2 linked regions of the Xenopus tropicalis genome follow. The protein of the gene in region 1 purifies or fractionates together with the protein of each later gene. This does not show direct contact. Links are inferred from orthologs where the notes say so. Each region holds a gene or a part of one and is shown on either strand. Other genes may lie near its edges. The genes, in order: rab27b and sytl4.

The links.
Region 2: the proteins of rab27b (region 1) and sytl4 purify together in Homo sapiens (co-immunoprecipitation; 3 studies listed by BioGRID and IntAct, counting the BioPlex papers as one, with this or other methods). This does not show direct contact. The link is inferred for Xenopus tropicalis from reciprocal best matches to the Homo sapiens genes RAB27B and SYTL4.

The regions. Positions count from the first base shown.
Region 1 is NC_030677.2:203,256,380-203,260,185, reverse strand, and holds part of rab27b (ras-related protein Rab-27B), read left to right. Parts: intron 1-781; coding exon 782-867; intron 868-3,084; coding exon 3,085-3,188; intron 3,189-3,806. UniProt on the Homo sapiens protein: Small GTPase which cycles between active GTP-bound and inactive GDP-bound states. In its active state, binds to a variety of effector proteins to regulate homeostasis of late endocytic pathway, including endosomal positioning, maturation and secretion.
Region 2 is NC_030684.2:64,624,840-64,628,667, reverse strand, and holds part of sytl4 (synaptotagmin-like protein 4), read left to right. Parts: intron 1-735; coding exon 736-897; intron 898-1,415; coding exon 1,416-1,521; intron 1,522-3,586; coding exon 3,587-3,686; intron 3,687-3,828. UniProt on the Homo sapiens protein: Modulates exocytosis of dense-core granules and secretion of hormones in the pancreas and the pituitary. Interacts with vesicles containing negatively charged phospholipids in a Ca(2+)-independent manner.

The sequences.
Region 1 (3,806 bases):
AGGACTTATGTAAAACACCCTTTGGAAGTTGAAAGCACCGTAGTGATGGCATCTGGGCCACCAGGAACCTTAGAGAAGGGTCCCAGCAACCCATAACATTCAGCTTCTTCAACAGTTACCTTCATTATAACCTTTGGTTATTCTGTTATCCTCTAGTCCCAACCTTTCTTCACTCTTGTTCTATCTCCAGTTACTCTCTTTTACCACTACTTGTTTTCTTTTGGTGTTTTCCCTTTTCTTTTCCTTTGGCCTTTCCCATCATTTTTTGGGGTACATCTTCTATCCTCTTTCTAAACCTTTCCTATTCCTACTTTTTAATGTTTCTCATCCCTTATCTTTGGTCTTTTCCCACATATGTCTACTGCTCCATTCCGTTTTCTTTCTTTTCCCATTTTATTCTGTCTGCCCCTAAATGTGTCCTTCCACAGTCTGCATGGCAGGAGCAGAGAAACCATAAGCAAACATGCCTGGGGAGTTATGCTGGGGCCATGATGCTCTCCTTGTGAAGAACCCTTGAGTTCTGAGCTCATGACCAGCTCCAGAGTTGTGATTGGAAGGAGGTTTGGCTTTGCATTGGTATCCTGGTGGTCCAGTCCAAAGTTGTATAAAGCTAAGGTGAAGGCAACCATTGTGCATGTATTTGATGTATTTGTACTTCTTCTAACCTTCCAGGCAGTTTCTTTGTTTTTATATTGATGATTGTGTTCCATGACCTGTCCAATGTGCATGTAACATCTGAAACAAGACTAATGTTGGGTTATATTGTGTCATTATTGCCCAGATATACAGCAATGCAGGACCAGGCGGTACTCATGGCAAAACATTCAAGGTTCATTTGCAACTTTGGGACACAGCGGGACAAGAACGGTAACCATACAGTTATACATGGCTATTCTATTTCCTAACAGGCCATCAGAATTGGTCAACTTTCTGTAACTGCATACTCTATTAAATCATCTTTTACTGAAATCACCTTTGTATTAATAACTCCGATAACTTGGAGACAGGAGAAGGAGACAAAGTGAAACCCAATGTAGTCCTACAGGAATCTTTCAACTGATCCCATTAGTTAGATATTAGTAAAGCAAGGCAAGCATTTGAGGGTACTGCAACCCTTCTTGATGGTCTCATACAGTCAACTTCATGTAATCTACAGCAAAAAACCTTACCAGCCATACTCCTACATCTCAAAATGTGGTTGTGTATCTTCAACATGGATTAGGCTTGGAATTATCTGGGATTTAACCATTTGTTGTTGGAAGGGATCTGTTGGTTGATCTAGGTTGGTCTGCTAAGACATAACATTTGCAAGTTATGCAGTTATGAGTGCTGCAATGCTACATTAGGGTCATGGGGACACACTAAGGATAAAATAAGTACCGGTATAATTGTGGTGAATCAATAAGTAAAACCCACCCCCTCAGGGGATAACTGCATATTTATGTCCATAGGTCACATAGTCCACATAGTGAGATGATATAATCTGACAGACCAACATAAAAATAAGTGGCGTCCAACTAAATAAGTATCTAAACCTATAAGATGCACTGAAGCAGGCTGGCCAGCAATGAAACAGTATAACCTACTATCATCACTATCTTGACATGCTGTCATTCTCTTTATTTCTATCATCTTATCCTACTATCCACTTCCCAGCTTAAGGTCCCCACGTTAAGGTTCGCTCGCTTGGCGAGATCGCCAAGTGAGCGGATCTTCACCCAATATCCCCACCTATGGGTGGGTGATATCGGGGAGCGTGTAGGCTAATTGCCCTGGGGCCAAACGATCGCATTATATTGGCGGCAATGGGCAGTCGATTCGGGGACCACATCAACGAGCCAATGTGGTCCCCGATCCAACTGAATTTTCTAACCTTGCCAGATCAATATCTGGCCAATTTCAGGCCAGATATCAGTCAGGCAGGCCCCTCGTTCTGCCCCTACACAGGCCGATAAGCTGCCGAATTGGTCCAAGGGACCCATATCGGCAGCTACAATCGACCCCTGTATGGGGACCTTTAGGGTAATGACAGACGAGGATATTAGTTGCCTGCAATAAATCTCCTATACCGCGACGACTAACCTCCTCCAAATGCCTTCCTACCTGCGATAATGTAAACCATATGGCTTTGGCTTTCCAAAGTTGCCTCGCAAAGAAAATTTGGCCATCTTCAGAAAGCTGAAGGTACTCTTATGGTTTACCATAGTCCAAATCGTCCATTATTCATGGTGGGAAGGCATTTGGAGGAGATTAGTCACTTGCGATAGAGGACATTTATCGCTGGCCACTTATCTTTTGGTCATAGCCCTTGTTGTCACCATCCTGTGCTGTTGTTCCCAACTTTCCCTAATATATCTGCTATCCTTCAGTCTTTTTACATTAACTCCTCCTCAGCCAGGCCTATCCCCCTCTAGCAAGCCCCACTCCCCAAAATAGTGCTCTGTAAAATATCTGGGATACCTTTCTTGCTGTGGGCTACATGGCCAGGTTAATACACTACACCTAAATATCTTGAGTTTACAACTTGGGGGAGGGGGGATTATGGCTAAATATTGGAACATCAATGGTACTTGGTGTATTTTTACCCATATTGATGTAATTTGGACGGACATATATTTCTCTCAATGGAAAACACCTTCTAAATATTATATTCCTAACTTCCTATATTGTATAAATGCTGCCAACAAACTTTGGTAAACTCCCCAGGAACTCATCTAATCAGCTATCCTGCTCTATTGGCCAGTGATAGATGGTTCTTCCAGGCTATCTCCCTCCTGATTATTTATTTATAGTTTAGCACAGACATTGTTGTCAATAAAACACTTTTGGTTTATGAAAAAAGTTGGCCTGGAGCTTCTCGTGAATCCCATCAATAATCGGAAGCCGACTGCAATAATGTTCAATTCAATAGAGAATTTATGGCCCCCGGGGGTTCTTGGAGAGTCTCCAAGTCTATGCCGAACACCAGCGGATATTCTAGGTTATCCTGCCACCTCCCTTGTAATGTGTTTTGTTCATCTCCCCATTGGCTCATATTCAGTTATATAAATGTATGAAATTAACACAGACGTTTCTGTTCTGTAGGTTCCGAAGTCTCACCACAGCGTTTTTCAGAGATGCCATGGGATTCTTGTTAATGTTCGATCTCACTAGCCAACAGAGCTTCTTGAATGTCAGAAACTGGATGAGTAAGTGTTATGGCTTAATGGGATTCTGTCATGGGAAACCATGTTTATTTTGAAAACCCATCAGTTAATAGAGCTTCCCCAGCACAATCCTGCATTGAAATCCATTTTTAAAAAGAGCAAATAGATTTTTTTTATATTTAATTTCATACGGGGCTAGCCATATTCTTCATTTCCCAGGGTGCCATAGCCATGTTATTTCTGCTCTGATAAACTTCAGTCACACTTTACTAGTTGGAGTGATATCCCCCCCCCCTCACCCCCAGCAGCCAATCAGCAGTTACATGGGAGTAGGAGAAACAATAGGTTAGCTGAAAGCAGTTCTAATGTGTAGCGCTGGCTCCTTCTGAAAGCTCAGACTCAGGCACACTTTACTGCTGCGCTGCAAGTTGGAGTGATATCCCCCCCCCCTCACCCCCAGCAGCCAATCAGCAGAACAATGGGAAGGGAGCAAGATAGCAGCTCCCAGTAGGTATCAGAATAGCACTCAATAGTAAGAAATCCAAGTCCGGCTTGGGACTCCTCCAGTTACATGGGAGTAGGAGAAACAATAGGTTAGCTGAAAGCAGTTCTAATGTGTAGCGCTGGCTGAAAGCTCAGACTCAGGCACAATGCACTGAG
Region 2 (3,828 bases), on another chromosome or scaffold:
CAAATGAATATTTAATTCTCACTGCAAAGTGAGAACCTTTAAATAAGAATGGCCCTAGTGATTAGATTTGGGCATGGCACTCTGTCCTGCTCCATGGTAGCTCCTTCCACTGTATGTAGCAGCATCAGGCTCCACATAATAAGAAATCTTTAAGCATTTCCTCAGTGATCTGAAGTACCCATGGAGGACATTGTACAGTTTCTGCCAATGCCACTGCAGTATATCAAAAAGGCCTTTTCAGAGCTGCTGCAGTACATTATTCAGGTCTTACTACTGCACTCAAATCAAGAGTGCACTCTGGAGAACAAAATAAATCAAATGTGATTCTTTATTGTTTGATCCTTTATCAGGTGATTTTACAACCATCAGTGCTCCATCACCCCAGCCACTTTCCTGCAGCATACCTGTAAAAAGCTAACTTCTCCAATATGATGACTGTCATGTGGCTGGCTGAGGATGCAGCTTTTCTGTAGTAATGTTAATGAAATATGATTTTAAATATTCTGGTCCGATTTGTTGTCGTCAGTAGCTTATCTATTGCAAATGATACTGTTACTTATCAAACCCTCACAGCAAGAAACACCTTCCCTGCCCCATTGGTCAGAAATGATTTTCTTCACAGCAGCAAACACAGTTCCTACACAGCTCTCTATAATATTTGACATTTGTAAATTTGACATGCAATATCAAAGGTAGAATATGATATTTATTGTGGGTTTTTCTTCTTTGCCTTAGTATATAGTTCCAGAATCTATGCTCCATTTGAGATCCCTTGAGCTGTCCGTCTGGCATTATGATCGATTTGGCAGAAACACATTTCTAGGGCAGGTGGATATTCCACTGGATTCCTGGAACTTTGACAGCTTGATAGAAGAATGTCTTCCTCTGCATGGAAAGGTAATATTAAAGTATTTCAGTCATTTGTTAACACCAACCACTTGCTCTGATAGAAGAATAAAACTGTTATTAAATCTGCATTTTTACAAAAATGTGTTTTTAAAATTAGTATATACTGTTTTTCTTTTTATATTCCCAATATGGCATAAAAGCTGCTGAGATACTGGAGTCTAAGGAGCAACAACTGGAGTGTCTTACACTAGCATATCATTGCTGTGATCATTATCTAAAACACCTCCTATAAATTAGGCAACACCAAGGCTCCAGATTAGATGTGTCCCTCCAAGGTTTTTTTTATGTCCCCAGTCTCCCCAAGACATATATATTTTCTTTGTTTGACATCATTTTTAATAATCTGACTCATGAACACATAGTACAGAATATTAGATAATGAACTGACTAAATGAAAGATGATAGACAGCATTTAAATTAGTAATTCAAAAGCTGGTGGCCAAGTTGGTTTTATGCCACTAATGTGTTAGCTATTCGGTAGTGAAATTCTTGCCTTTGTTATTTAGGGCAACATGGACAGTGGAGCTGGCTTTTATAACTCCAAAGGGGAGCTGGTGGTTTCTCTGAAGTACGTACCACCTACCAAGCCCTCTGGAAGTGAGAGGCGAAAAAGTAAGTGGACAATTGCTGTGTATATCTAGTAACCATTATTTAGACTGCTTTAGCATGAGGTCTTTTTTATGGTTCTTCATAATACACTTAAAATGGATACTGCTGTCACAAAATGAGCCCCTATTCAGTGGTGTAACAAAGAAAGACTGGACACCCCTGCAGAAAAATCCTCTGTGGAAGGTGGGGAAGAGCCTGGAACGCTCAGTCTCTTCTCTTTCCTCTGTGGAAGCGGCTGTGGTTGGTGGCTGCTACCATACAGCTGACCCAGCAAAAGGCCAGGACCTCAGGGTCTGCTGTGTGGTAGTCCTTCCTTGTCCATCTTTCTGATTCATTAACTTTGCTGCCCACTGCAAACGAGCAAGCATCCCTCAAAAGATTTTGTTTGCAGGGGGTAAATGAACCACTCCCCCTTTTTAATATTTCTTTACAGTTTTTTATTGCACCGTTATATTCTGTCAAACCACTGAGCATAAATACATTGATAACATTAACGCTCTATGGTGTTTTTGTTCTGGCTCAGCTAAACAGCACTGTATTTATATCAACTGTAGTCATTATGAAGCGTAAACACAATTACCATTGAAGGGCAACAGTATATTATATTTTAATTATTTTGAAACCTTTTAATTTTTTGGTGTTACTGTTCCTTTTAAGTATGGAGTTCTTGGACGCTGCACCCCTGCATATGTTAAGCAGAAGTAAATCATGCTCAAATTGAAGACATATATGGGAATTTATGGGAATGCCCATGCCCTTCCCACATGGCATCCTTAATGATACAGATTCAACTTGCATGATATTTACATGTAGGTGCAAATCTTGTAGCCATGTTAGTACACAGTGTTTGACTTGTGTCTGACAAATTTATGCTGGAGTTTTCAGAGATATGGTGCATAAAGTGTACTGTACCAATTTTTGCACCTTGCACAATGCACTGAGATGGCTGCCTACACACCAGTACTGCAACTAAAAAGAATACATTTGTTGGTTCAAGAATAAGAATTTAATTGGGAGAGTGAATTACTGTGTTTGCTATGTAAACAGTGTAATTTAAAAATCATGACAGAATCCCTTTAAAGCAGTGCTGTCCAACTTCTGTTGTACTGAGGGCCGGAATTTTTCCGACCTACGTGGTGGAGGGCCGATAATGGAAGCCAGTTTTGACCACTCCCCTTTTTGAAACTGCACCTACTTGAAACCACACCCACGTTATCACATGACCATAGCCATATTAATAGTTGTAGTACAGCAAAAACCTGCCATACTCTGCCTTCCCTACCCTGTCTGTGTGTGCCATACTCTGCCTTCCCTACCCTGCCTGTGTGTGCTATACTCTGCCTGCCCTACCCTGCCTGTGTGTGCCATACTCTGCCTGCCCTACCCTGCCTGTGTGTGCCATACTCTGCCTGCCCTACCCTGCCTGTGTGTGCCATACTCTGCCTGCCCTACCCTGCCTGTGTGTGCCATACTCTGCCTGCCCTACCCTGCCTGTGTGTGCCATACTCTGCTTGCCCTATGATGTATGGCACACACAGGCAGCTTACAGTGACACAATGCTGGCACTGCTCCTACAGTCTGCACTGTATATTAAAAAACTATATATTAAAATTTTTTTTAATTGAAGTCCCACCTCAGTATATGTTCTTTTTGTAGTGTGCAGGGATTATTTGTGGGTTTCTATTGCTCCTGAGGTGTGAACAGGGGAACAATGGGGGTGATTACAGCCTGAGCCTGAGGTGTGAACACTGCAGGGGGTGAACAATGCAGAGATTAAAAGGTGTGAACAACACAAGGGATTACATATTTAAACAATACAGCCTGATTACAGCCTGAATCTGAGGTGAGAACCATGCAGGGGGGGGCAGTTAATCTCAGTACTGATGCCATTTAAAGCTTACACAAGAGTAAGCCATCAAAGCAGCCAGACAGGTGGGGGGCCACACAGAGGGGGGCCGCGGGCCACCAGTTGGACAGCACTGCTTTAAAGTATAAATAATCTTGCAATTATTGTAAAGGCCCCTGGACACGTTTTCTGAAAAAATATTTTTTTGATTTTTGAAACTAGAAAAAGCAGATGAAGGAGGAGAACTTCATGTCTGGATTAAAGAAGCTAAAAACCTCACTGCTGTTAAGACGGGAGGGATATCTGACAGCTTTGTTAAAGGGTGAGTAGACTACCAAAGTATATTATTGTTTCCAAGGACTTCTAAATTAGGGCTGCACTGAATCCAGGATTCGGCAGAATCCACAGTCCTAAAAATCACATGACTTTTTGTCATGTTAACACCATTGTATGGGGTGACATTT